Macaca fascicularis: one gene and its partners. The protein of the gene in region 3 interacts with the protein of the main gene of each other region in a biochemical or structural test. Links are inferred from orthologs where the notes say so. Each region holds a gene or a part of one and is shown on either strand. Other genes may lie near its edges. The genes, in order: CBX3, ZMYND11, H3-4, HDAC1, ING4, CBX5 and PHF8.

Region 1 (3,500 bases), on a different chromosome or scaffold from region 3:
TTCCTGGTTTCAAGTGATCCTCCAGCCTTGGACCCTCAAAGTGCTGGAATTGCAGGTGTGAGCCACTGCACCCAGGCCCTACATTCTAATTTGAGACTCTAAATTAGTAAATCCAAATTACTGGGTAGAGAACAATAAAAGTCTCTGCTCTGTAATATTATTTTCATTAAAGTCTTCTTGGCTGGGTGTGGTGGCTCACACCTGTAATCCCAGAACTTTGGGAGGTCAAAGCAGGTGGATCCCTTGAGGTCAGGAGTTTGGGATCAGCCTGGCCAACATGGTGAAACCCTGTCTCTGCTAAAATACAAAAATTAGCTGGGCATAGTGGCAAATGCCTGTAGTCCCAGCTACTCGGGAGGCTGAGGCAGGAAAATTGCTTGAACTCGGGAGACAGAGGTTGCAGTGAGCTGAGATCACGCCACTGCACTCCAGCCTGGGCAACAGGGCGAGACTCCGTCTAAAAAAAAAAAGAAAAGAGTCTTTTACATTACTTATTACACTGCACATGGCCAAATGCAGTATAATTTTGCTAGTGGCCTTAAGTTTTGGGAGAAGAAAAAGGGAGGAGCCCATTCATTTCCTAAAGTTTTGCTGGGTAAAAATAATTTTTCATGTTTCATGGGCTTAATAAAGTATGGACTTATGATACATACTTAATTTCAACTAAAAACACTGGAGGATAAAACAGGAAAACGTAAATCTCCCATTCAACTCATATTTCCCAAACTGCTATGAATTAAATGTGAAGAGCAGGGAAAGCACGAGATAACAGATATGTGAAGCCCAATCATTTGACTACCATATGCTCTATCTCCAGCAAGCTCAGGAAATTGATCTCCACCTATCCATTTTTAATTGTCACTGCCTATGGAGCTTTGTGGTGTAACAGGGAAGAATCAAAGCAGATAAGCACAACAAACACCAAGTGTTAAAGTATGTAATTGCTGCATGTTCAAGTTATTCACATTTTGTGAAAATTATCAAGAATCCGTATCAAAGAACACAAGGAACCAGAGAGCTTAAAACAAGCCCAGGCTCTACTTCTTAGGTATTAGGACATAATAAACTTAGTATAAAGCCTAGATTATAGGTAATCCTGTATGAGACCCACTAGTCTATACTATATAGCTTCAATGTTTTTTAGTACCCTCTGTGTGGAGGAAAACAATGCAGATTGTTATAATCAGTATAATATCTAACCACATTAAAATACATTATATAGTAAACTACACTCTATAATTTTACAAATTTGACTCCCCAGGGTAATAAACTAGTCTCTAGTCTGCTCAGCTTCAACTGTACAATAAAGTTTTGGTTCTTTTTAAATAGACTTCAAATAAGATACCTAAATTCAAGGTGTCTTTACATTTAAAGACATCTATGGGAAAGCAGGTAAAAGAGTCAGGTTAAAAACAAATTCTAAAACCACTTAGCTGCAGTCAAACATACAATACAGATGCACTAAAGTTTCTTACTCTGTAAATCCCTTCCACTTCAGGAAATACTCCACTTTCCCATTCACTACACGTCGATCTAGTACTTTTTCCACCACAAATTCTTCAGGCTCTGCCTCTTCAACTTTTTTACTCTTTCCATTCTGTTTTTTCCCCATTTTTTGCTAAAATAAAACAAATGAGAAATTAAGAAATATTCTTCTTGAATTTTGGGTACATTTTCAAGGCTCAATTGCTTACATTATTATTACATTCAACATAAATTTTTACTTTTTACTTCCACATCCCAGGGCAGACAGGGAAAGATTAAAAGTCAACAGACAATAAAATAAAAGAATGCTTTATTTTGTTGATTTAGCTCAAACTTATGACCCACCACCAAAATAATACAATCAAAAACACTATCTGGAAAAATTACTTTTTTTCCAGTCTTTTTTTTTTTGAGACAGGGTCTCTCACTCTGTTGCCCAGGCTGGAGTGCAATGGCGTGATCTCGGCTCACTGCAACCTCTGCCTCCCTAGGTTCAAGCAATTATCAAGCCTCAGCCTCCCAAGTAGCTGGGATTACAGGCACATGCCACCATGCCGGGCTAATTTTTTTTGTATTTTTATTAGAAACGGGGTTTCACCATGTTGACCAGGCTGGTCTCAAACTCCTGACTTCAAGTGATTTTGCCTCCCAAAGTGCTGGGATTACAGGCGTAAGCCACTGCGCCCGGCCCTGTAGTCTTAAAAGACCAAGTTTACTAGAGTTTTCACTCATTTTAACAACACAGCAACTATGCAGGAAGTACTTACAGGGTGATACAGAGAAGAAAATAGTAGTGACAGGTCTTAGGTGAACCAACGACAGACCTAAGAGCCTCCTTCTCAATTCAAATACTAATGTCAAAAGCTTCAATAATACAAATAAAAGGTAAGCGCAGAATGAACACGTGGTTCACAATCCTGATACCAACTGCAAGGTCAACTATGGAGACCACTAGGAGGTTAAAGGACAAGATTATTTTTCCATCTCTGTAGATAATATTTCCTACCACTTAGAACCTATAAAGCTGTCACTTCAAGAGGACAAAAGGGGAGATTTTAATTCTCTAAGGTGAAAAAAATCCTTCCTTCCTGGTTTCTCAAGACAAAGTCTATATTGGTAGCCAACTTCACTTTAAACAGGCATTTTTTTGTATGACACTATTTAAGAGAAGCAGGAAACCAACCTCAATCAGCTCTCTTCAATAGCTCAAGATTTGCTATGAGAGGATTAAAAATGGGGAAAATTTTTATGAGATTAAAAATGCGGGGGAAAAACCCCGAAATGGTTAATCAGAAGATCCTATGGGCAGAGAAGAAATCCACCTTAACATTTCATCTTAAAACAAATGCTACTGCCAGGCGTGGTGGCTCATGCCTGTAATGCCAGCACTTTGGGAGGCTGAGGTGGGCAGATCACCTGATGTCAGGAGTTTGAGACCAGCCTGACCAACATGGAGAAACGCTGTCTCTACTAAAAATAAAAAAGTAGCCAGGCATGGTGATGCATGCCTGTAATCCCAGCTACTTGGGAGGCTGAGGCAGGAGAATCGCTTGAACCCGGGAGGCCGAGGTTGCGATGAGCCAAGATCACGCCATTGCACTCTAGCCTGGACAAGAGAAAAACTGTCTCAAAAAAACCCCCCCACAAAACCAAAAAACCCAAATACTATCAAAAAAAGATAAACCTTAATTGCCCAGTCACTAAAGCCATCCCACAAGTAAAGCAGCAAGCAGAAAAAAGTTAACAGCAACACCTCAAGGCTACAAAAGGACATTTCAAGCTATGCAGGCATATGAAGTGCGCAGACACACATGTAAGAAAGGCCTCAAGACTGCAAAATGACATTTCAAGCTATGCAAGCAAGCATATAGGTAACACACACACACACACACACACACACACACACACACACACACTCCCCTGGAATACAAAAAAATGCAGCAAACACCTGACTTTCTCGGATACCATTTCCAAGTCAGGTCTTATGATTCTCATTAGTCAAGATACTTGAGTAC
Region 2 (3,500 bases), on a different chromosome or scaffold from region 3:
CCAAGAGCAAAGAAAGGACGACGTAATCAAAGTGTGGAGCCCAAAAAGGAAGTAAGTTGCCCACCTCGCAGTATCCAGGTGGCAAATGAAACAGGAAATATTTTCAGAGTATTTTGTATTTTCAAGTATTTCAAAGACAATCACTCTTGGTGGATACTTGGAAATTCAGTTGCTGTCAATCGAATAATATCCATCAAGCTGAAACCAGTCTTCTGACTTCCCTGTCATTATCTGTTACCCTGGAATAGCATACATGCTCCAAGTCTCCATCTTAATTCAGCAGCCACTGACCAAAGCTTGGCTAAGTGGGAAGGGCACGTTGCTATTAATACATTTCCTGGGAGCTCTGATATTTTTCCTAAGTATTATTAAAAACAACACATTTATCCAGTATATCGGTTGTGCCAACATTTGAAAACTTGAAGGAGACTGTGGTTGAGCTCAGCCGTTTTAAGTGATATAAGCTCTGCATGTTTTAAAACTGTGTAAATCTGGACACATTTCAAACATATATTCAGTGAGAAGTGGTTTAGACTTTTAGGAAATTTGTTAATGAATCTAGTCCAATGAAGTGATTATAAGTTGACAATACTTTTTATATTCTATAAATTTTTATGTTTATTTTAAAAACAAAACTTACAGTATTAAGTAAAATTATAAATGAAGCTTACGTTTGTAATTGTAGCTGTTGTTAATTGTAGCTGTTGTTAATTGCATGTTCTTTTCATTCACTGATTGGGGGAGATTTGTTTATTTTTAAATTTTGGCAAAATATACATGAAATCTACCATCCTAACCATATTTTTTAACAGAAGTTTATTATATGGCTGTTTACGTATATCACTGTATTTTTAGCCTAATAGAGTAGTTCTTGAACTAGTGAATTATATTGCTTTGTTTTGCATCTAAACTCTTGTCTTACCTTTTAGGAACCAGAGCCTGAAACAGAAGCAGTAAGTTCTAGCCAGGAAATACCCACGATGCCTCAGCCAATCGAAAAAGTCTCCGTGTCAACTCAGACCAAGAAGTTAAGTGCCTCTTCACCAAGAATGCTGCATCGGAGCACCCAGACCACCAGTGATGGCGTGTGTCAGAGCATGTGCCATGACAAATACACGAAGATCTTCAATGACTTCAAAGACCGGATGAAGTCGGACCACAAGCGGGAGACAGAGCGTGTTGTCCGAGAAGCTCTGGAGAAGGTAATGCTTGTCGCCACACTGGGTGCCCTGCTGCAGCCGGCACTCCTGTCATGGTTAGGCTCCTTTTACTCATGCAGCAACCCAGTAGCAGCTTTTAAATGTAGCAATAGAATGACACCAGTATCTTTTATAGCATTTCAAGTAATAACGATACTTTTCTCACCTAAATTTTTTACACATGTAATGAAGGGGAAAACGGTACCTCATGCAAGTAGGAACGATGTGTTAAGTTTCTGTTCCGTTGTAGGCGGTCTGTGTAAGTCGTGCGCTCTTACTGTGGGTTGTCTTTTCATTCCAGCTGCGTTCTGAGATGGAAGAAGAAAAGAGACAAGCTGTAAATAAAGCTGTGGCCAACATGCAGGGTGAGATGGACAGAAAATGTAAGCAAGTAAAGGAAAAGTGTAAGGAGGAGTTCGTAGAAGAAATCAAGAAGCTGGCAACACAGCACAAGCAACTGATTTCTCAGACCAAGAAGAAGCAGTGGGTAAATACCAGTCTTTTTTAGACTGTTATTTCTGAAAACGTACCACAGGTATGATGCCAGTTTATTCAGAAGGTAGCTGTGGCACGTGCAGAAGATGTTTCTGAAATAAGATCAAATGTGAAGTGGTCAGCTTTAGTTTTTAAAATTTTATTAACAGTCCTATGATCTCTCAACCCCAGATCCCGTATTACTGTGTACTGCTCAGGATTATTTTGTTAAATTGAGATTATAATACCTTATTACATATTTATTACAATTAACTTATATAATTTCTCCATCTATGCAAATATTTTATTTGGGCAAATTGGCTGGCCCTAACTTTTACCTGGTGATTTCAGATGGGTAACATCCAAATGGTGAAATTATAAATGTAATTATCACAATAAATTAAAGAGTTTCCGATTTCCCTGCACTTAACATTTATGCATTAGATTTTGTTAAAGAAATCAATTATTTTTACTTTATAGTAGTGACATTTCACTGGTCTCTAACTACCCTCCCTTATACCTGACCAGCTAGTGTCATTTGTCGTCATGTCCGGCTCGCGAGTCTCATCCTCCCCACCAGAGCGGGAGCTTCTGAGTACACAGCATCCAAGTGCTCATCTTACAGTCGCCACAGTGCTCAGTGAATTAGGGAAAAGTTTTGCTCCCGAAAGCTCATAACTTGGTTTCAGTTGACTATATAAAGTTCTGTGATAAACTTTAATTCTTCATTTTATCCAGCCTATATTATATAAATACACATAAACTCTTCATGAAAGAAATATTTTTAAATCTGTGACAAAGATTTGGCAAGAAGGAAAAGAGAAACTTAGCATATAATTTAGAAGAATACATGAAGATAACTTGGTAGGAAGAGGTGGTGAATAACAAAATAAATATTGTTAACAAAAGACCAGGCAATCTGTGGAGGAAAAAAGAGAGCTTTATTTTCTGTTAAAAAAACAGCCTGCACATTGGGTGGCACAGCCTTCAGTACAAGTGAAAGTGTGCTCTCCGAAGAAGAAAATTTCCATATTCTTTAAGAAATTTCATTGGTGCTAGTAAAGTTTTGAGGAGCTGACAAGCTCTGATTGGTGACGGATGGCAGTCGGCAAAACTAGTCTGAGAGTTGCAGCCAACATTTTGTGTTCCAAGTGCTTTTCCCCCCAGCTCCTCAACTCAGTTTTAGTTGGGTATGACAAGAATGACTGAATTTGTGTGATCAACTCTCACAATATCATTAGATAGGAATTAAGGTATGCTCAAAATAACAGAAGCACAACACCCAAAGACGCTCATGCCTGTAGTCCCAGTGCTTTGGGAGGCCAAGGCAGAAGGAGTGCTTGAGCCCAGGAGTTCAAGGTTGCAGAGAGCTGTGATCGCACCACTGCACTCCAGCCTAGGCGATGGAACAAGATCCTGTCTCTTAAAAAATTTTTATGAGTAGAAATCTCTTAAGTTTACTAATAAAGAATCAAGAAAATGGGAAGAAGAGGCAATAATTATAAAACTGTCTTTTATAGCACTTTACCATTTGTGAAATAGCTGAAGTGGGTATTTTTGTACTCTAAGATGAGGAATTTAAGACCTATTAAAAACCCAGTTGGCAGAGCTGAGCTTTGTGTGCTCATCACATTGGGTCTAGTAGACTAGTAAAAGGGTTAGAATTCTTTCTTCTTGGCCAGGCTCCATGCTCACGTCTGTAATCCCAGCACTTGGGGAGGCCGAGGCAGGCAGATCACTGGAGACCATGAAACTCCATCTCTGCAAAAAATACAAAAATTAGCCGGGCATGGTGGCGTGTGCCTGAAACTCCAGCTACTTGGGAGG
Region 3 (3,929 bases):
TAGTCATCTACCCTAACAGAAGATAGGGTGAATTAACAACATACATGACTAGCCAGCCTTTTAACTGAATGGGAGATTGGGTATGTTAACACATACAATGACGTGGACTTCTAACTGGAGATGGGCCAACATCACAGCTACATATGTGTGTGCACATGGGCACACGTGCACGTGCGCACATACACACACACACACCCCTAGCCAGCCTTCTAACCTAATGGGAGATAGCCCAAGTTAACAAGATATACAACTAGCCAGCTTTCTAAATTAACAGGAGGTAGGCTGAGTTAACACACACAAGTAGCTGGACTTTGTTTTTTTTTTTTTTTTTTTTGGTTTTGAGACTGAGTCTCGCTCTGTTGCCCATGCTGGAGTGCAGTGGCATGATCTTGGCTCACTGCAACGTCTGTCTCCTGGGTTCAAGCAGTTCTCCTGCCTCAGCCTCCCAAGTAGCTGGGATTACGGGCATGTGCCACCACACCTGGCTAATTTTTGTCTTTTTAGTAGAGATGGGGTTTCACCATGTTGGCCAGGCAGGTCTGGAACTCCTGACCTCAGGTGATCCACCCGCCTTGGCCTCCCAAAGTGCTGGGATTACAGACCTGAGCTGCCACGCTGGTGAAGTAGCTGGACTTCTAACTGAAAATAGGCCAAGATAACACATACTACTTGCTGGCCTTAACAGGCTGTCTAGGTAGGAGACTAGCTGGACTGGTAACCTCACTGGAAAGAAGCTGTGTGTACACACACACACACACACACGCAGGACTTGTAACAGTTTGAAAGAGGCTGAGCTGAGAACACACAAGACCAGCCAGCCTTCCAACCTAACTGTAGATAGGCTGAGTTGACACAACTAGCTGGGGTTGCTTACCTAACTGGAGATAGGCCAGTTACGCTACCCTCAACACCCCGTCCCCAAACAGACCAACCATGATTCTTATCTAAAGGGATAGACCAAGTTAGCACCACACACGACTAGCTGGACTTGTAACTGGAGACAGGCTGGGAGGTAACGCGCATGAGTAGCTGGCCTCCTAACTGGACAGGGTGAACACAGGATTCGCCAGCCTCCCACCCTAATCAGAATTAGGTAAGCCAGCACCGGCCAGCGGAAGGAACCCCCAAAACCCAAGAGCCTGGCTTGCTACAGCAACTCTTCCGACCAGGTGGGTGGCTCTTAAAAGAGCCTTTGGGGTGAACGTTGCGCAACCTCTCAGGTGGCGAGATGGCCCTCCTAGGCCCGCTCCCCACGGATACGGCGTGCCAGCTGGATGTCCTTGGGCATGATGGTGACCCGTTTGGCGTGGATGGCACACAGGTTGGTGTCCTCGAACAGCCCAACCAGGTAAGACTCGCACGCCTCCTGCAGCGCCATCACGGCCGAGCTCTGGAAGCGCAGGTCGGTCTTAAAGTCCTGAGCGATCTCGCGCACCAGCCGCTGGAAGGGCAGCTTGCGGATTAGCAGCTCAGTGGACTTCTGGTAGCGGCGGATCTCGCGAAGCGCCACTGTGCCAGGTCGGTAGCGGTGCGGCTTCTTCACGCCGCCAGTGGCGGGTGCGCTCTTGCGAGCCACCTTAGTGGCCAGCTGCTTGCGTGGCGCCTTGCCACCCGTCGACTTGCGCGCAGTCTGCTTGGTTCGGGCCATGAATTTGAAACTGTTGTCTCTGCCGTGTCCTCTGACCAGACCTCAGCTGATTGCCCGCTTTTATAGAGCTTGCCGCGTTTTCATTGGCTGGCCTCAGGTGGCGTGATGGCCCCCTACTCTCTGATTGGTCCACAGGGCACGCCACTCGGCCGCCTCTCCCTTATATTAGTGCTTGTTGGTCGTGGCCACCAGAGCTAGCACCAGCATTGTGAAGGGTTGATGCGGGTAGGCCACGGCGGTGGAGATCATCTCTCTCCAGCACAAGCTTCCTCGTGTCTCCTCAGCAATCCTCTTCTCCCTTCCTCATGACTTGGGTGGGAAGAGCCTTCCGAAAGCCAGCATGTGGCATTCCACTTTTTTTAAAAATTAATTTTTAAAAAATTTTTTGAGATGGAGTTTAACTCTTGTTGCCCAGGCTGGAGTGCAATGGCGCGATCTCTGCTCACTGCAACCTCTACCTCCCAGGTTCAAGCGATTCTTCTGCCTCAGCCTACCAAGTAACTGGGATTACAGGGATTACAGGTATCCACCACAAAGAGATGGGTTTTCACCATATTGGCCAGGCTGGTCTCAAACTCCTGACCTCAGGTGATCCACCTGCCTCGGCCTCCCAAAGTGCTGGGATTACAGGCATGAGCCACCAGGCCCAGCTGGCATTCCACTTTTTTTTTTTTTTTTTGAGACGGAGTCTCGCTCTGTTACCCAGGCTGGAGTGCAGTGGCGCAATCCCGGCTCACTGCAAGCTCCGCCTCCAGGGTTCAGGCAATTCTCCTGCCTCAGCCTCCCAAATAGCTGGGACTACAGGCGCCCACCACCACACCCGGCTAATTTTGTTTTGTATTTTTAGTAGAGACAGGGTTTCACCATGTTAGCCAGGATGATCTCGATCTCCTGACCTCGTGATCCACCTGCCTCAGCCTCCCAAAATGCTGGGATTACAGGCGTGAGCCACCGCGCCCAGCCGGCATTCCACTTTTACACAGTGATACAGCTCTGGGATCCAACCAGAGTTAAAGGAATCTTCCACTTTTTATGACCTGCAAAGAACTCCCTTTGCTGTATGGCTCAGATGAGCCTTAGGATGCTGAAGAAGGTAAAGATATGCCTTTCTGGCATATTAACTCTTTTGAGATAAAGGCACTTAAAAAAAAAAAAAAATAGAGGCAGGTGTAGGAAGATCATTCTGAGTTTCTTGTTGTTTCTTAAAGGCAAGAAATAGAATTCCCCTATGAAAGATGTTCTTATAGTAAAAGGAAGGGAACGTTCTTATCATCAAGGACCAGAAGGTGGAAGCTTCCAAATCTCCTCCAACTCTGAAGCTGAAATTTGATCCCTAAAGTTGGAGCCGGGGCTCAGTGGGAGGTGTGTGGGTCCTGGAGGTGTCACCCTCTGAATAGAGTCCTGCCCTCCTTTAGGGTGAGTTCTCACTCTGTTGGTTCCCTGAAGAGCTGGTTGTTGAAAAGAGCCTGGCACTCCCCTCCCCTCTCTTTCTGGCTTCCTCTCTTGTGCAGTCCTGTGACCTCTGCACACACATGGGTTCCCCTTCACCTTCCACCATAAGCAGAAGCAGCCAGAGGCCCTCACCAGAAGCAGAGGTGGGCCCTATACTTGCTTCCTTCCATTCTCCCTCCCTCCCTTCCTTTCTCTCTCCCTCCCTCCCTTCTTCGCTCCCTTTCTTCCTTCCTTCCTTTCCTTTCTTTTTATCTTCTTCCCTCCCCTCCCCTCCTCTCCTTCTTTTTTCAGTCTTGCTCTGTTGCCCAGGCCCCTCCTACCTCAGCCTCCCAAGTAGCTGGGACCACATCCAGCTAATTTTTAAATTTTTTGGAGAGATGGGCTGTCATTATGTTGACCAAGCTGGTCTTGAATTCCTGAGTTCAACTGATCCCCCGACTTTGGCCTCCCAAAGTGCTAGGATTACAGGCTTGAGCCACCATGCTGGGCCACCGTGCTTTTTTTGTTTTTTTGACCTGAGTCTCACCCTGTTGCCCAGGCTGGAGTGCAGTGGTGTGATCTCAGCCCACTGCAACGTCCGCCTCCCGGGAAGTTCAAGCAACTCTCCTGCCTCAGCCTCCCGAGTAGCTGGGATTACAGGTGTGAGCCACTGCACCCAGCCACCGTGCTTCTTGTACAGCCTGGGAAACCATAAGCCAATACCTTTTTTTTTTTTTTCCAATAAATCATCCAGTCTCAGGTATTCCTTTAACAACACAAAACAGACTAAGACAGAAGCCAAGAGAAATCTATACAAACAAACTTTATTAAACTAACCCTTATCTTCCTA
Region 4 (3,500 bases), about 120 Mb from region 3:
AGAGACCGGTTTCACCGTGTTAGTCAGGATGGTCTTGATCTCCTTACCTCGTGATCCGCCCATCTCGGCCTCCCAAAGTGCTGGGATTACAGGCTGAGCCACCATGCCCGGCTGGGAATAGACATCTTACTCGAGAAACCGAGTTTTGCAGTGAGGTCATTACTTTGGGACTCAGATTTGGCTCTGCCATTGAGAAGCTTTGCAATACTAGGCAAGTCACCTTACATTTCAGATTACTCTCCTATAAAATCAAAATGATAGGAGTTCCTATTATGAGAACAATGATGGGAAAGCTCTTTAAGAGTTTAAAGTATGGCTGGCGCCAGGCTCACGTCTGTAATCCCAGCACTTTGAGAGGCCAAGGTGGGTGGATCATTTGAGGTCAGGAGTTTGAGACCAGCCTGGCCAACATGGTGAAACCCTGACTCTACTAAAAGTACAAAACTTAGGCGTGGTGGCACATGCCTGTAATCCCAGCTACTCAGGAGGCTGAGGCAGGAGAATTGTTTGAACCCGGCAGGCAGTGAGCCTGAGATCGCACCACTGAACTCTAGCCTGGGTGACAGAGTGAGACTCTGTCTCCAAAAATAAAAATAAAAATTAAGTCGTACCTAAATAAAAAGGACAATTTCTTTTAAAGTCTCTCAGCAACCTGATTAAGATATAGAGATATGTCTTTATTTTAATTATAGTAAATTTAGTCATGAAGGATGCAGTCACTCAAGAAGTTATATAGAAGAGGATCCAGGGTGGAATTCTAAGGAAGTGGACAGTACCCCTCATGCTCCGTACCACCCTGTCATAGCATTTGTCAATGTGTATAGGAATACACACAGCACGGTTGGCAAACTAATTAAAAACTTAGGAAAAGGATGGTTGGCCTGCACTATTGGAGGCTCACATCTGTAATTCCAGCACTTTAGAAGGCTAATCAGGAGTTTGAAACCAGCCTGGGCAACAAAGCAAGATGCCATCTCTACAAACAAGCAAACAAACAAAAACATCAAACAAACAAACAAAAAAACGTAAAAAGAAAAGGATGGTGTCTCAGAGCCCCACCCTGACTACCCTCACCTCAGGTACTCCCTTACCCTTCTGGATAAGGTATCTTAGTCCTCCAGGTCTGAGCCTTGACTGGATGCAGGCTTGATAGGCAAGGGAGTTGCTAGGGATCAAGGCTCATGCCTTTTTTTCACTGGGTGGCGAAAGCTCTGCCTCAAGCTAATAAACCTCTAAGGAGAGATCTTTGGGTGTATAGTTCACTTGATTTTGCAACAGTGTTCAAGGAACTTTCTACCAGGTAGATTTATAGGGCCCTCTAGATTAAGTGCAAACTAAAGTAGGTACCTGAGAAACCCAGTGTAGGGCCGGGCACAGTGGCTCATGCCTGTACTCCCAGCACTTTGGGAGGCTGAGGCGGGTGGATCACAAGGTCAGGAGATCGAGACCATCCTGGCTAACACAGTGAAACCCTGTCTCTACTAAAAAAAAAATGCAAAAAATTAGCCGGGCGTGGTGGAGGGCGCCTGTAGTGTCAACTACTTGGGAGGCTGAGCCAGGAGAATGGCATGAACCCAGGAGGCAGAGCCTGCAGTGAGCCGATATTGTGCCACTGCGCCCCAGCCTGGGCAACAGAGTGAGACTGTCTAAAAAAAAAAAAAGAAAAAAAAAAAAGAAAAAGAAACCCAATGTAGCTTTTAGCATATTGGATTTGGAGTCAGAAGAGTGGGCTCCAGATCATTCATTAGCTGTGTGATCTTGAGCAGGCACTTAACTTCTCTGAGACTCAATTCAATTCATTGAATCTTTATTGAGCCTCTGTGATATACAAGGCATATTAATCCTTGCCTTCAAGGGGTACCCAGTCTTGTGGATATAGTCATGTAAATAATTCAGATATAAAATAATCCTAGCACTTTCGGAGGCTGAGGTGGGAGGATCACTTGAGGTGAGGAGTTTGAGACCAGCCTGGCCAACATGGTGAAATCCCACCTCTACTAAAATACAAAAATTAGCTGGGTTTGGTGGCACGCACCTGTAATCCCAGCAATTTAGGAGGCTGAGGCAGGACAATTGCTTGAACCTGGGAGGCGGAGGTTGCAGAGAGCTGCCGAGATAGCACCATTGCACTCCAGCCTGGGTACAGAGCGAGACTCCATCTCAAAAAAAAGAAAAAAAAAATTCCTGGGTTCTCCTGGGAGTGTATGTCTAACCGTTTCGTGAAGCTGTCACTGTCTCTTCTTCAGGGGATGTTGGAAATTACTACTACGGACAAGGCCACCCAATGAAGCCTCACCGAATCCGCATGACTCATAATTTGCTGCTCAACTATGGTCTCTACCGAAAAATGGAAATCTATGTGAGTTACCATATGTGCTATTATTCCCTAACTGCATCTGCTCTGGTTCCCTATATGCCATTCATTATCTCATTTTCTCCACCACTCATTTACATGTTGACTGCTGTTACAAGGCAGGTACAATAAATGATAAAGATTTTTGGCTGGGCATGGTGGCTTACGCCTGTAATCACAGCACTTCAGGAGGTGGAGGCAGGAGGATCACTTGAACCTAGGAGTCCTAGGCCAGCCTGGGCAACATAGGGAAATCCTGTCTCTACAACAAAATTTGGCCATGGTGGCGTGTGCCTGTGGTCTCAGGTACTTGGGAGGCTGAGGTGGGAAGACTGCTTGAGCCTGGGAGGTCGAGGCTGCAGTGAGCTATGATTGCACCACTGCATTTCAGCCTGGGGGACAGAGCAAGACTCTGTCTTAAAAAAAAAGCTAGGCTGGGCATGGTGGCTTACGCCTGTAATCCCAGCACTTTGGGAGGCCGAGGTCAGGAGATTGAGACCATCCTGGCTAACACGGTGAAACCCTGTCTCTACTAAAAATACAAAAAATTAGCCGGGCATGGTGGCGGGCGCCTGTAGTCCCAGCTGCTCGGGAGGCTGAAGCAGGATAATGGTGTGAACCCATGAGGCAGAGCTTGCAGTGAGCTGAGATCGCACCACTGCACTCCAGCCTGGGTGACAGAGCGAGACTCCATCTCAAAAACAAAACAAAACAAAAAAACAAAGCCAGGTGCAGTGGCTCATGCCTGTCATACTAGCACTTTGGGAGGCCGAGATGGGCAGATTGCTTGAGCCCAGGAGTTCGAGACCAACTTGGTCAACATGGCAAGACCTCGTCTTTACAAAAAAGTAGCCGGGCATGGTAGCAAGTGCCTGTGGTCCCGGCTACTTAGGAGGCTGAGGTGGGAGGATCATTTTGAGCCTGGGAAGCAGAGGTTACAGTGATCCGTGATTGTACTACTGTGCTCCAGCCTGAGAGACAGAGTGAGACCCTGTCTCAAAAAACCTGTAATCCCAGCACTTTGGGAGGCCGATCTTCGAGTTTTTAAAGAGATGCTGGAAATCCAGATTATTATGTAAAATCTCCCAAGAAACCTTGTCTCTACAAAAAATACAAAAAAAAAATTAGCTGGCATGCTGGCCTGCAC
Region 5 (4,244 bases), on a different chromosome or scaffold from region 3:
ACTAGCCCTGTAGTGATAGTGCTGCATCACTCGACCCCTTCAGAATTATGATGCTAACATCACATATAAACAAAAGGAAAACAAAAACATGAGGTTTCCCCCTTAGAGAGTAGCAAGAGGTGCCAGGCACAGTGAATCACGCCTGTAATCCCAGCACTTTGAGAGGCTGAGGAGGGCAGATCGCCTGAGGTCGGGATTTCAAGACCAGCCTGACCAACATGGAGAAACCCCGTCTCTACTAAAAATACAAAATTAGCCAGGTGTGATGGTGCATGCCTGTAATCCCAGCTACACGGGAGGCTGAGGCAGGAGAATCACTTGAACCTGGGAGGTGGAGGTTGTGGAGAGATGGCTCCATGATCACGCTATTGCACTCCAGCCTGGGCAACAAGAGTGAAAATTCTGTCTCAAAAAAAAAAAGTAGCAAGAGGGCAACGTCAGAAGTAATATTTTGGCCGGGCGCGGTGGCTCAAGCCTGTAATCCCAGCACTTTGGGAGGCCGAGATGGGCGGATCACGAGGTCAGGAGATCAAGACCATCCTGGTTAACACGGTGAAACCCCGTCTCTACTAAAAATACAAAAAAACTAGCCGGGCGAGGTGGCGGGCGCCTGTAGTCCCAGCTACTCGGGAGGCTGAGGCAGGAGAATGGCGTAAACCCGGGAGGCGGAGCTTGCAGTGAGCTGAGATCCGGCCACTGCACTCCAGCCTGGGCGACAGAGCGAGACTCCGTCTCAAAAAAAAAAAAAAAAAAAAAAAAAAAAAAAAAAAAAAAAAAAAAAAAAGAAGTAATATTTTATATGTGAAAGTATTCGAGTATAAAGTACAGGAGGTCTGACAAAAGATGTGCAGAATTATAGCATTATTGTCATTATTTGTATTTATAAGTAGAAAGTTGATAATCCTTCTCAAGCTTAAAAAATAATGCTGGGGGAGATGGTGTTTGTGTGAGTGAAAAGAAATGCAAAGGGTTTAAATCTCTCAAGGCTTGATACTCTTCCCCAACTTCCTTAAGAAACTAACTGGCTTGAAAAAAGTCATATTCTGCAAAGAGGGAAAAAAAGCTGTATCTTCCAGTCGCTGAGAAGGGATGTTTACGCAATATAAGCCTAAAGTGAACAGTTACCCCTGCACCGATTGCTATACATTCCCGTTTTGGAGGGAAAAAAGTTTGCCCGATAATGCAAAATGGCGACCTTCAGTGACGTCATACCTGTCTCGGTCGCGTCCTGGGGTCTCTGTAAGGGCGGAAGCGGGCTACAGCTGCCTCACTATGGGCGGTCGTGGCTACCATGCAAAAGGAAAAGTTTGAGCGTCGGGCGGATGTGTACCGGCGGTAACATAGTAAGGGCGGAAGTTCTCCTTTTAAGGGCGGAAAGGCTTTAGCCCCAAAATGGCTTCGGACCCTGTCGCGTTATAGTCACTTCCGGGGCGGATCGGAAGTTGCTTTGTTTTGCTTCGAGATGGCTGCGGGGATGTATTTGGAACATTATCTGGACAGTAAGAGCAGGCTGGAGGTGGGGGTCGGGGCTGTAGAGTGGTGCGGGGATCAGGGATGAGAGGATCTGTAGCCCTTAAGTCTCAATGACGAGAAGGTTACAATTGTGAGGGGGTTCTGTGGCAGGAAATATTGGAGGGTGCGGAGAAAGAGGGGGCGGGGCAGCAGGATCGAGGCCCCGCTGTTGGGGGTAGAGGAGGGAGGGGCTGCGGTGTGGGGGTTAGGGACGTGTCTTGAAGGGCTAGTGTGCACGGCCGGGAAGATAATTGCTGCCCCCATTCTCCAGCGTCTCCAGCCTCTGGGTAGATTTTTTTCCTATAGTCGTTCAGAATCGTTATCACCCACTGTCATTTGGAGCAGCGGTGAAGACCCCTCCTCCACCCCATTCTTCCTCAGAAGTGGCTTCTCGTGGGGTTGAGAGTGGTGGTGGTGAGAGTGGTGGTGGTGAGAGTGGTGGTGGTGAGTGACCACTGTCAGATGATGAGCTGGAACGCTTCTCTTCGTGGAGTAAAGATCTAATTCCCATCAAATGAAAATCTGGTGTTATGCCATTTATGTAAACCACCCCTGCACAAAGCCTGTCGCCCTATGCGCTTACATTTGTTTTAGGGCCCGGAGTCATTTATTCAACAAATATTTATTGAGTTCCTACTATGGGTCAGACATAATGGCAGGCACTAGGGATAGAAAAATGGGTAAGACAAGGCCCCTGCCCTCAAGAAGCTCTCGATCTAGAAGGAAACAGATTCTGCAAGTAATTGTAAAACACTGTGACAAGTGAAATAATGGAAATCCATTAAAAAGGACATTTGGTAGGCAACACTGCAGAAAAGGGGGGTAATTACCTGGCGATGTAGGAAAAGCTTTACAGAGGAGGTGATGTTTGAATAGGGTCTTGAAGGTTGTTTGCCAGTGAGGAGAGAAAAAGGGAATTCTAGGTTGGGGAAAGTGTCTGCAAAGGTACTGTGATAGGTTTGTGGCAAAGTCAAGGGTGTTTGATATTTATGACTCAGAGGTCAGCGTATTTAATATTTATGACTCTAAGGTAAGAAATTGAGAAACGAGACTGGAGAAAGAAGCTGAGGCTAGATTGGACAAAGTCTTTTAAGCCAAACTAAGAAGTTTGCATTTTAAAGTACAATGTGATTTTTATAAACGAAAATGACTAATATATGGTACATTGAAGCATGATATCACTGATAACAGAGATCAATTTAGTGATAACATTCCAGGACAGAGATAAGAACCTGATTTTAGGGAGTTATGGAAGTATTTAGGAGTTAAATATGAAAGGACTGCCGGGCGCGGTGGCTCAAGCCTGTAATCCCAGCACTTTGGGAGGCTGAGACGGGCGGATCACAAGGTCAGGAGATCGAGACCATCCTGGCTAACACGGTGAAACCCCGTCTCTACTAAAAAATACAAAAAACTAGCCGGGCGCGGTGGCGGGCGCCTGTAGTCCCAGCTACTCGGGAGGCTGAGGCAGGAGAATGGCGTAAACCCGGGAGGCGGAGCTTGCAGTGAGCTGAGATCCGGCCACTGCACTCCAGCCTGGGCGACAGAGCCAGACTCAGTCTCAAAAAAAAAAAAAAAAAAGAAAGGACTGACTGACTGGGTGGTTGAGAGAGAAGGAAGAATCTAAGGTGGCTTCTTGCTGCTTAGAAAGTGAGGTAGACAGGCTGGGCACAGAATCTTATGCTTGTAATCCCAGCACTTTGGGAGGCCAAGGTGGGCAGATCACTTGAGGTCAGGAGTTTGAAACCAGCCTGGCCAACATGGTGAAACCAGTCTCTATTTAAAAAAAAAAAAAAATTTATCTGGGCATGGTAGCATGTGACTCTAATCCCAGCTACTTGGGAGGCTGAGTCAGGAGAATCACTTGAACCCAGGAGGTGAAGATTGCAGTGAGCCAAGATCATACCACTGCACTCCAGCCTGGGCGACAGAGAGAGACTCTGTGTCCCTCTTAAAAAAAAAAAAAAAAAAAAAAAGGCCGGGCGCGGTGGCTCAAGCCTGTAATCCCAGCACTTTGGGAGGCCGAGACGGGTGGATCACGAGGTCAGGAGATCGAGACCATCCTGGCTAACACGGTGAAACCCCGGCTCTACTAAAAAATACAAAAAACTAGCCGGGCGAGGTGGCGGGCGCCTGTAGTCCCAGCTACTCCGGAGGCTGAGGCAGGAGAATGGCGTGAACCTGGGAGGCGGAGCTTGCAGTGAGCTGAGATCTGGCCACTGCACTCCAGCCTGGGCGACAGAGCGAGACTCCGTCTCAAAAAAAAAAAAAAAAAAAAAAAAAAAAAAAAAAAAAAAAAAAAACTTGTGGCCAGGCCAGGTGGCTCACGCCTGTAATCCCAGCACTTTGGGAGGCTGAGGCGGGCGGATCACGAGGTCAGGAGATCGAGACCAGCCTGGCTAACACAGTGAAACCCCGTCTCTACTAAAAATACAAAAAAATTAGCTGGGCGTGGTGACGGGCACCTGTAGTCCCAGCTACTCAGGAGGCTGAGGCAGGAGAATCGCTTGAACCTGGGAGGCGGAGGTTACAGTGAGCCACTGCATTCCAGCCTGAGCAACAGAGTTAGACTCCGTCTCAAAACAAAAACAAAAAGGCTGGGAGTGGTGGCTCACGCCTGTAATCCTAGCACATTGGGAGGCTGAGATGAGTGGATCACCTGAGGTCAGGAGTTCAAGACCAGCCTGGCTAACATGGTGAAACCGTCTTTACTAAAAATACAAAAATTAGCT
Region 6 (3,079 bases), on a different chromosome or scaffold from region 3:
ATCAGCAGCTGAGCAGGGAAGCAATGTTAACAAATGCTATGAATGGGTATATGATTTGCATATTATGTGGCTCATCTGTGGACTGGAGCAATCCATCCATTCCCCTCATTACTCTGAATAATCTAGAAATGGTGGATGCTCCTGGCCAGACAGCTGTATGTTTTAAAAATCAAAAGCAACAAGAAAAGCAGCCTCATGGCTGGTGCACTCTAGAATTAAGGCTATATTAAGCATTTATTCTTATTTCCTCAGCTTTGGGGCTGGGGCAAGGGTCCTCAAAACCCTGCTATTTCCTTACTTCTAATTGTGATTCTCTAGCCCTCCTCAACCACAAAAAGAAAAGGATAAAGTAGGACATTTCTTGGGGGACAAAGGCAGAAGGATATGATCAGACAAATTTCTCAATATAATAGCAACACAAGAAGAAACCAAAAGGAAATATTTTGCTGAGTAAGGAGAAAAGGTTGTGTCAACATGCTAATAATGCCAGGGCCTGTCACTTTCCAAGGTGATAGTCTTTTAGGAACATGCCTTTATTTTTATTTATTTATATTTTTTAGAGACAGGGGTCTCACTACATTACCCAGGCTGGTCTCAAACTTCTGGCTTCAAGCAATTCTCCTGCCTCAGCCTCCCAAAGTGCTGGGATTACAGGTGGTAGCCACTGTGCCGGGCCATGAAAATTCATTTTAAAAAATAAGATACAACTATAAGTTTGAGGGTAGAAAAAGGGAAGAGCATTAATATTTTGGGGACTCTTGGTGGTAAATCCAGGAGCCAAGAATGCAAGAGACTTTTAACTGCTATGAATACTTAAAATTGATATTGTGGCCAACAGCTCACCTCTAAAACTTCCCCACTGAAAATAATGGCATGGAAGGGAAACTCGGGTCCACTGAGAAGTGAGGGTCAGGTTTGAAGCCTCTTTGGTAACAGGAATGCTTTGGGAGGCCACAAAAGTTGGCAGGCTTGGAGGGTGCCTAGCACCTTGGCACAAGCAAGCACCAGGCAAACACTCACACCTACATAAATATACAGTCTAAATATGAGGAATGGAAAGAAATCATACATACATACCATATGTGATAATAAAGACAATTGTACCCTACCCCATCATCCTCATGTACTATAGCTAAAAATCTCCACAGTTAATAATCTTGTCATTTTATCACAAATTGATATCACTTTACAGAAGCAGAAGTGGAGAGTGCTAAAAGCAAGACCAAAAGTCCTGGGGCTAAAAAGAGTGTCTTGACAAATTTCAGTGTAAAATTTCAAATCTTCCAAAGGATGGAGTAATTCTGGGAGGATAAGTGAGGATGAACAACAGAGGGTGGCCCAGAAGACCACACCAGAAACCCTGTATTCTCCTGGGTAGAGCTGAACAAGGTTGGGAAAGCCCCAACAGGTAGGCAGTTGCTATTGGCTTTTTAACAGACGGGCAACATCCTTTCCATCTCAACATGTCAGAACAAAGGCCAGCTAGTCAGCAACATGTTCTAAGAACCAAAGCAAGAAACCAAAATTCAACATCATTGTGACAAAATCCCCCAATCTAAAAATCAAGACTCTAAGGTGATTAAAAAGTTAAAACTCATCTTGAGGTCACAGGGGAGCAGAAGGAAGAGATCAGGGCAAAGGAAAAAAAAATTGTGGGTATTACACTCAGTATGTAAATGCCTGGTCTTCACAGAGAGACACTCATCATTAATCAGACCATCAGTTATGTTACAAGAGAACCAATACCAACATTTCTCCTGTGGAGCACAGTGATAAGCACATTTTTTATGGATGTGTTTAGGATAGAAAGGGGTGGGTAGAAGGGAGAGGAGGCAGGGAGGTGAATGTATTATGTACAAAGAGAAATGACAGAGACCATCCCCTCCTTTAGCTCTTTGCTGTTTCTTTCTCTTTGTTTTCCGCATCCTCAGGATATGCATGCCATGTCAGTCTCTCTTCATAAAATGCTATCACAATTTGTGGACATTTCACGTTAGCTTCTTTTGCAAGAACCAGGTCAGCTTCATCTGTGTCTTTCCTGGAGAGAAATAATATGAGATTTAAAAGGAGAGGAAGAGTGAAAGAATCTGTCCAGACGTAAGTTTATGTCATTATACGGATTTAATTGACTTGATTTCCTCCTCACCTTGGTTTCAAGGTGAAAAGGACCCTTTCAATATTTTCAAGAAGAAATTTAAGTAAATGGATTAATACCTAATATACAGAAACAGATGTCTGTAGCTAGAATTTAGATGTAAACCATGGTAGGCTTAGGTTAAAAAGCTGAATGATAAATAATATTAATCTGCTTCCAAAATTTTTATTTGTGAATACAAGCATGTGAGTGAACCCAATCAAACCTACATTCAGCTCTATTAATTATGCATAAGTCAATTATACACAGGTTGGTCAATCCAGTTTCCAGATCATCTAAGTGAAGAGGTCTTAACCCTCCTCACTTTGTGTCTGTTTAAATACTTATTACCCCTCTGGTCAGAACTGTGGATTGGAACAACAAGCAAATAAAAATTTAGCTACAAATTTCAATTATCTCAGTTACACAACCTCTACTACCAAGTATAACAAAAAAATCTAGCCACATGGTTCCTTAAACATGATTCCAAATCAGTTTTTAAAAAATTAAAATTATCCTGAGAAGCCCAGGCACAGTAGCTCACGCCTGTAATCCTAGCACTTTGGGAGGCTGAGGCAGGTGGATCGCTTGAGCCCAGGAGTTCGAGACCAGCCTGGGCAACATGGCAAAACCCATCTCTACCAAAAAATACAAAAATTAGCTAGGCATGGTGGTGCACACTTGTGGTCCCAGCTACTTGGGAGGCTGAGGTGGGAGGATCACTTGGGCTTAGGAGGTGGAGGTTGCAGTGAGCTGAGATCGAACCACTGAACTCCAGCCTGGGCAACAGAGCGAGACCCTGTCTCAAAATAAATAAATAATAAAAAACAAAATAAAATTATCCTGAGATGTGGACAAGAAAAATTACCACCTTATTGGAGCAGATACTCAAATATGGACTACGGTGGAAAAAGCTAATTAATGTTAATGTAAATCGTAAGTAAC
Region 7 (3,986 bases), on a different chromosome or scaffold from region 3:
GGCGTGAGCCACCACGCCTGGCTGTTTTTTTTCTTAAAGATGTCTCACCCTTCCTCCCCCAAACCATATAAGCTTCAGGTCCCATTAAACCTGGACCTTTCAGTGCAGTGGCTCAGGCCTGTAATCCCAATGCTTTTAGAGGATCTCCTAAAACCAGGAGTTTGAGACCAGCCTGGGCAATATAGCGAGGTCTGGGCTCTACAAAAAATCAAAAATAACCGAGTGTGGTGGTATGCGCCTATAGTCCCAGCTACTCAGGAGGCTCTGGCGGAAGGATTGCTTGAGTCCACGAGTTCTAGGGTGAAATGAGCTATGATCGCCCAGCCTGAGTTGACAGAGTGAGACCTTGTCTCTAAAATAAACATTTAAAAAAAAAAAAAAAAAAAAACAACCCTAAACCATCCTCTGGGTAAGTCACAAATATGAGACTCAGCTACTCCTGCTCAAATACCTTCTTTTCTTTTTACTAACTGCATACAATCTAAACTCTTTTGCATTTCGCAATCTTTCATGTTTTGACCCTTTACTGTTTGACCTCCTACCTATCTCTCTTCTGTTCTCCTTGTTCCAACAATATTCAACTTTTAGTAAATATTTTTCTATGTGCCTCCATGCATTTGTACACGTTGATCCTTTTGAGTACAATGTTCTCGCTTGTTTATTTAAGTGAACTTATATTCTCCATGTCTCCCTGCCGTCTTTCTTACAGCAGCTGCAAGCGGTTTGTAAGGCTCTTTTGTAGCTTCGTGTTGCATTTTGCAAAGGTCATTTTGCAGGTGGTATTTGTGAGCTTGCTGCGCCTTCTATTCCATTGTTTACTCGCAACTTTGTTTCCTGCACTGGCAGATGCCCTCCCACTCCAGAGGCCCTGTTTTCACCATTGCATCCCCAGGGCCTAACCCACCATCACTGGTTAGTAAATTGTGTGCACGCACACATTTATTTTTTAAAGCAATGGGACCCTTTAAGAAAATGAAATAGTAAGATAACTCCTAGATAATTTTCTAGAATGTTTGGGAAAACCTAGGCCATCTTGAAGCATATGTATGAAGCTCCACTAACTCAGCAAAGCTCCACTAACTCAGCCTTTCCTCTCATCCCCTATCCCCTCCCCTCAGGCTATAGTCAGAAAATTGTGGGACAGGTGCAAACAAATCCTTGAACTGTATTTGAACTGAAGTGAAACAGTAGGGTCAAAGAAGAGTTCAGAGGGAGTTGTGGAGTTGGCAGCGCTTTACAGAGGAACTACACTGAGGGCCTGAGGACAGAACGCGGGTAGCACAGGGCGCAAGGTTCAACGTCCCTGCTCTGGGACTCAAGTCACTTGGCTTCTCGAGGCCCCTGCCTTCATTTGGTGATAATCACAGAGCTTCCTTCACAGGGGTAAGAACAACGCAGAGACCGTGGGAAAGAGCCCAGCCCGCCGAAGGTGCTCAATGATCAGGAGCCGCGGTGAGTACTCCGCCTCTACCCCGGCTGAAGCCCGCCCCCGCCGTCACCTATTAATTTTGTAGTTTGGAGTCACCGAGTTCACCTCCTCTCATAGGAGGAGTAAGGCTGGGGAGGAGGAGTGTGCGAGTCGGGGTAGCTTAACTCCCTGTTTGCCCGGAGGAGGGGGAAGGCTAGGAAGTTTCGGGCCCCACTCAAAATGGAGCCAAACGTCTGCCTCGCCTAAGATGGCGGCTTCTCCGCCTCTGGGCTCAAGGTCTTCAGCGGCGATTGGGCACCTTAAAGAGACTAGCGGGTCCAAAGGTGGCTGAGAACCGCCCTCCTTTCTCAAGGTGGCGCCCCGCCCCCTGGCGGCGTCACCCGGGAGCCGGCGGCTCGCGGTTCCCCGCCTCCGCCGCGCTCACCTCGCGAGCCCAGCCCTCATAAGATGGCGGTCAAGCCTTGGCTCTGTGGGTAGCGCCGCCACTCTCAACATGGTAGATGTTTACCCCGTATTTCTCCTCCCCTCTCCGCTTCAACTTCCTCGTTGCTTTGAATAAACTTTATTGACTACTCCGAATTGCCTACCACCGCCACTGGGCTTCTCCCAACGACTTTTCGGGCCGTGTGCCTCGGACGTGGCGGCCGGTTCATCTCTTTCCCCGTTGGTTTGCTCGCGACTATCTCCTGCTGGCCCAGCGACGACGCCACTTGCCCGTTCGCCGGGCGGCCGCCAGACTAGGCCCAAGCCGCGGTCTCCAGTAGGCCCGAACGGCCGGGCCGAGGGGAATGTTGTGGAGGAGGCTGCTCTGAAGTACCGTCGGGCGACTGGCGACGCGCGACCCAGCAGGGGGCTCCAGGGGAAGGCGAGCGAGGTTCCCGGCGGTACGGGGACTATCCCAGAATTCGACGCGCGCCGCCGTAGGGGCCGGAACTACCGGACGAGCCTCCGCTGAGGCGCCTCGCCGTCCCGGAGCTAGCCCGGCTGCCGGCGTGTTGCGGGGACTGAGCTCTGCGGGCGTGGAGTCCTTGCAGCCCAAAGCATGAGGAGGTCCCTGTAGGATTCTGGACCGAAGACGTTCTTGTCAGGTTTGGGGCGTGAGGAGGTTCCTGTCAGTTGGGGAAGCGTTAAGATTCCTGTAAGTTTTGGGGGCTGCGAGGGTATTACTGTCAGTGTTAGGATATACCGTGAGGTACCTGAACATTTGTGGGGACTAGGGAGCTCTCATCAGTTTGAGGGGGCTGCAAGGAAACCGTGGCAGTTCCGAGCGATGCAAAAGAATCCTTGCCTAGTTTCAAGAGTGTGAGGAAACTCTAGTCAGTTTGAGGGGTTTTGAATAGATCCTTTTGAGTTTCAGGGATGCAACCAGAAGCCTGTCATCTTGAAAGTACAAAACGAGCTGGTCAGTTTAGAGATTTCTATTTATTTCAGTTTTGGGCGTGACGAGACTCCTGACTGGTCGGGGAAGGAATGATACTGAGAGTGACGGAAAGGATTATTTAAACTCTCGGAACACGACCCCAGAACTGTGATTTGAGTTGGGCGTCTAGTCTTGTCTGTCTTGTTCGTGGAGGCTTTGAGTAACCTGAAGAGACTTTCGGGGATCCCTTATTTCTCTCTGGTTGGCCCTGTTTCGGGGGGTGAGAGGAGGGTCTTGTCTGGCGATACCCCCAGCCTCATTTTTGAGGCTGTGGTTTGCGTCATAATAAAGGGAGCCTTGTGAAACGGGTCAGCTAGGAGAGGGTTCAGTGAGAGATGAAAGAAGCTTCCCGAAAAGGCTTCAGGTATTTTCCTGAAACCCGGAAAGAAGTTATCACTGACTCCGGGGCGAAGAAGGTCGGGGGTGGGGGGTGGGGGGTGGGGGGTGGGGGGTGGGGAGGGTGGGGGCGGTGGAAAGCCTGGAAGGTTGAGCGCCGTTCTTTACGTGTGAAAGAAATTCTAAAGGCCGGGTGGACTTTCTCTGGTTGCCCCCTACAGCCGCACCAGCTGTGTTGCATCCCGGCGGCGGTAACTCTCTATTGGGGAACTGAGGGTTGGTGCAAGGGGGTGGGGGGCGGGGGCTGATTCACTCTGTAAAAAGTGTTGTTTGTGCCTAGCCATCGTCCAGAGAGGACGCGTGCTGCCGCCTTCCGCCCCTCTTGACACGACGAACCTGGCCGGCCGCACAACGCTCCAGGGCCGAGCGAAGATGGCCTCGGTGCCGGTGTATTGCCTCTGCCGGCTGCCTTACGATGTGACCCGCTTCATGATCGAGTGTGACATGTGCCAGGACTGGTTTCATGGCAGGTAAGGAGGGCAGGCCAGGCTACACAGGGTGCGGTGGCCAGGTATGTTCACTTGCTCTCTCTTCCTTTTTCAGCTCTGTTTTTAGATTCCGGCTCAGAACCCCCTCTCCCAGACTCAGGTTCTGCCATTTCTCCTTGCAGACCAGGACCTAGCTGACATTAGCCTCTGGTTTCTCCTTTTCCTGTGTTTTCCCCTATGTATTTCATCTTTGCACCTTTCTTTTGAGTGTTTTTTTTTTTAGATTTATAAGACCCCCCCCCTTTTCTTTGTG

What was found.
Region 1: the proteins of H3-4 (region 3) and CBX3 interact in a test that uses a peptide from one of them, tested with the Homo sapiens proteins (2 studies listed by BioGRID, with this or other methods). The link is inferred for Macaca fascicularis from reciprocal best matches to the Homo sapiens genes H3-4 and CBX3.
Region 2: the proteins of H3-4 (region 3) and ZMYND11 form a complex in vitro, tested with the Homo sapiens proteins (2 studies listed by BioGRID, with this or other methods). The link is inferred for Macaca fascicularis from reciprocal best matches to the Homo sapiens genes H3-4 and ZMYND11.
Region 4: of the proteins of H3-4 (region 3) and HDAC1, one has a biochemical effect on the other in vitro, tested with the Homo sapiens proteins (2 studies listed by BioGRID, with this or other methods). The link is inferred for Macaca fascicularis from reciprocal best matches to the Homo sapiens genes H3-4 and HDAC1.
Region 5: the proteins of H3-4 (region 3) and ING4 are reported together in a solved structure, tested with the Homo sapiens proteins (2 studies listed by BioGRID, with this or other methods). The link is inferred for Macaca fascicularis from reciprocal best matches to the Homo sapiens genes H3-4 and ING4.
Region 6: the proteins of H3-4 (region 3) and CBX5 interact in a test that uses a peptide from one of them, tested with the Homo sapiens proteins (5 studies listed by BioGRID, with this or other methods). The link is inferred for Macaca fascicularis from reciprocal best matches to the Homo sapiens genes H3-4 and CBX5.
Region 7: the proteins of H3-4 (region 3) and PHF8 form a complex in vitro, tested with the Homo sapiens proteins (2 studies listed by BioGRID, with this or other methods). The link is inferred for Macaca fascicularis from reciprocal best matches to the Homo sapiens genes H3-4 and PHF8.

What each region holds. Positions count from the first base shown.
Region 1 is NC_088377.1:104,099,243-104,102,742, forward strand, and holds part of CBX3 (chromobox protein homolog 3), read right to left. Parts: intron 1,619-3,500; coding exon 1,476-1,618; intron 1-1,475.
Region 2 is NC_088383.1:642,150-645,649, forward strand, and holds part of ZMYND11 (zinc finger MYND domain-containing protein 11), read left to right. Parts: coding exon 1-51; intron 52-929; coding exon 930-1,202; intron 1,203-1,500; coding exon 1,501-1,686; intron 1,687-3,500. UniProt on the Homo sapiens protein: Chromatin reader that specifically recognizes and binds histone H3.3 trimethylated at 'Lys-36' (H3.3K36me3) and regulates RNA polymerase II elongation. Does not bind other histone H3 subtypes (H3.1 or H3.2).
Region 3 is NC_088375.1:86,334,956-86,338,884, forward strand, and holds H3-4 (histone H3.1t), read right to left. Parts: upstream 2,801-3,929; 5' UTR 1,649-2,800; coding exon 1,238-1,648; 3' UTR 258-1,237; downstream 1-257. UniProt on the Homo sapiens protein: Core component of nucleosome. Nucleosomes wrap and compact DNA into chromatin, limiting DNA accessibility to the cellular machineries which require DNA as a template.
Region 4 is NC_088375.1:202,723,227-202,726,726, reverse strand, and holds part of HDAC1 (histone deacetylase 1), read left to right. Parts: intron 1-2,246; coding exon 2,247-2,359; intron 2,360-3,500. UniProt on the Homo sapiens protein: Histone deacetylase that catalyzes the deacetylation of lysine residues on the N-terminal part of the core histones (H2A, H2B, H3 and H4).
Region 5 is NC_088385.1:7,585,634-7,589,877, reverse strand, and holds the start of ING4 (inhibitor of growth protein 4), read left to right. Parts: upstream 1-1,444; 5' UTR 1,445-1,462; coding exon 1,463-1,499; exon of another isoform or gene 1,500-1,516; intron 1,517-4,244.
Region 6 is NC_088385.1:61,082,268-61,085,346, forward strand, and holds the end of CBX5 (chromobox protein homolog 5), read right to left. Parts: intron 2,039-3,079; coding exon 1,888-2,038; 3' UTR 501-1,887; downstream 1-500. UniProt on the Homo sapiens protein: Component of heterochromatin that recognizes and binds histone H3 tails methylated at 'Lys-9' (H3K9me), leading to epigenetic repression. In contrast, it is excluded from chromatin when 'Tyr-41' of histone H3 is phosphorylated (H3Y41ph).
Region 7 is NC_088395.1:54,015,629-54,019,614, reverse strand, and holds the start of PHF8 (histone lysine demethylase PHF8), read left to right. Parts: upstream 1-1,186; 5' UTR 1,187-1,436; coding exon 1,437-1,452; intron 1,453-1,996; exon of another isoform or gene 1,997-2,567; intron 2,568-2,957; exon of another isoform or gene 2,958-3,213; intron 3,214-3,509; exon of another isoform or gene 3,510-3,525; coding exon 3,526-3,715; intron 3,716-3,986. UniProt on the Homo sapiens protein: Histone lysine demethylase with selectivity for the di- and monomethyl states that plays a key role cell cycle progression, rDNA transcription and brain development.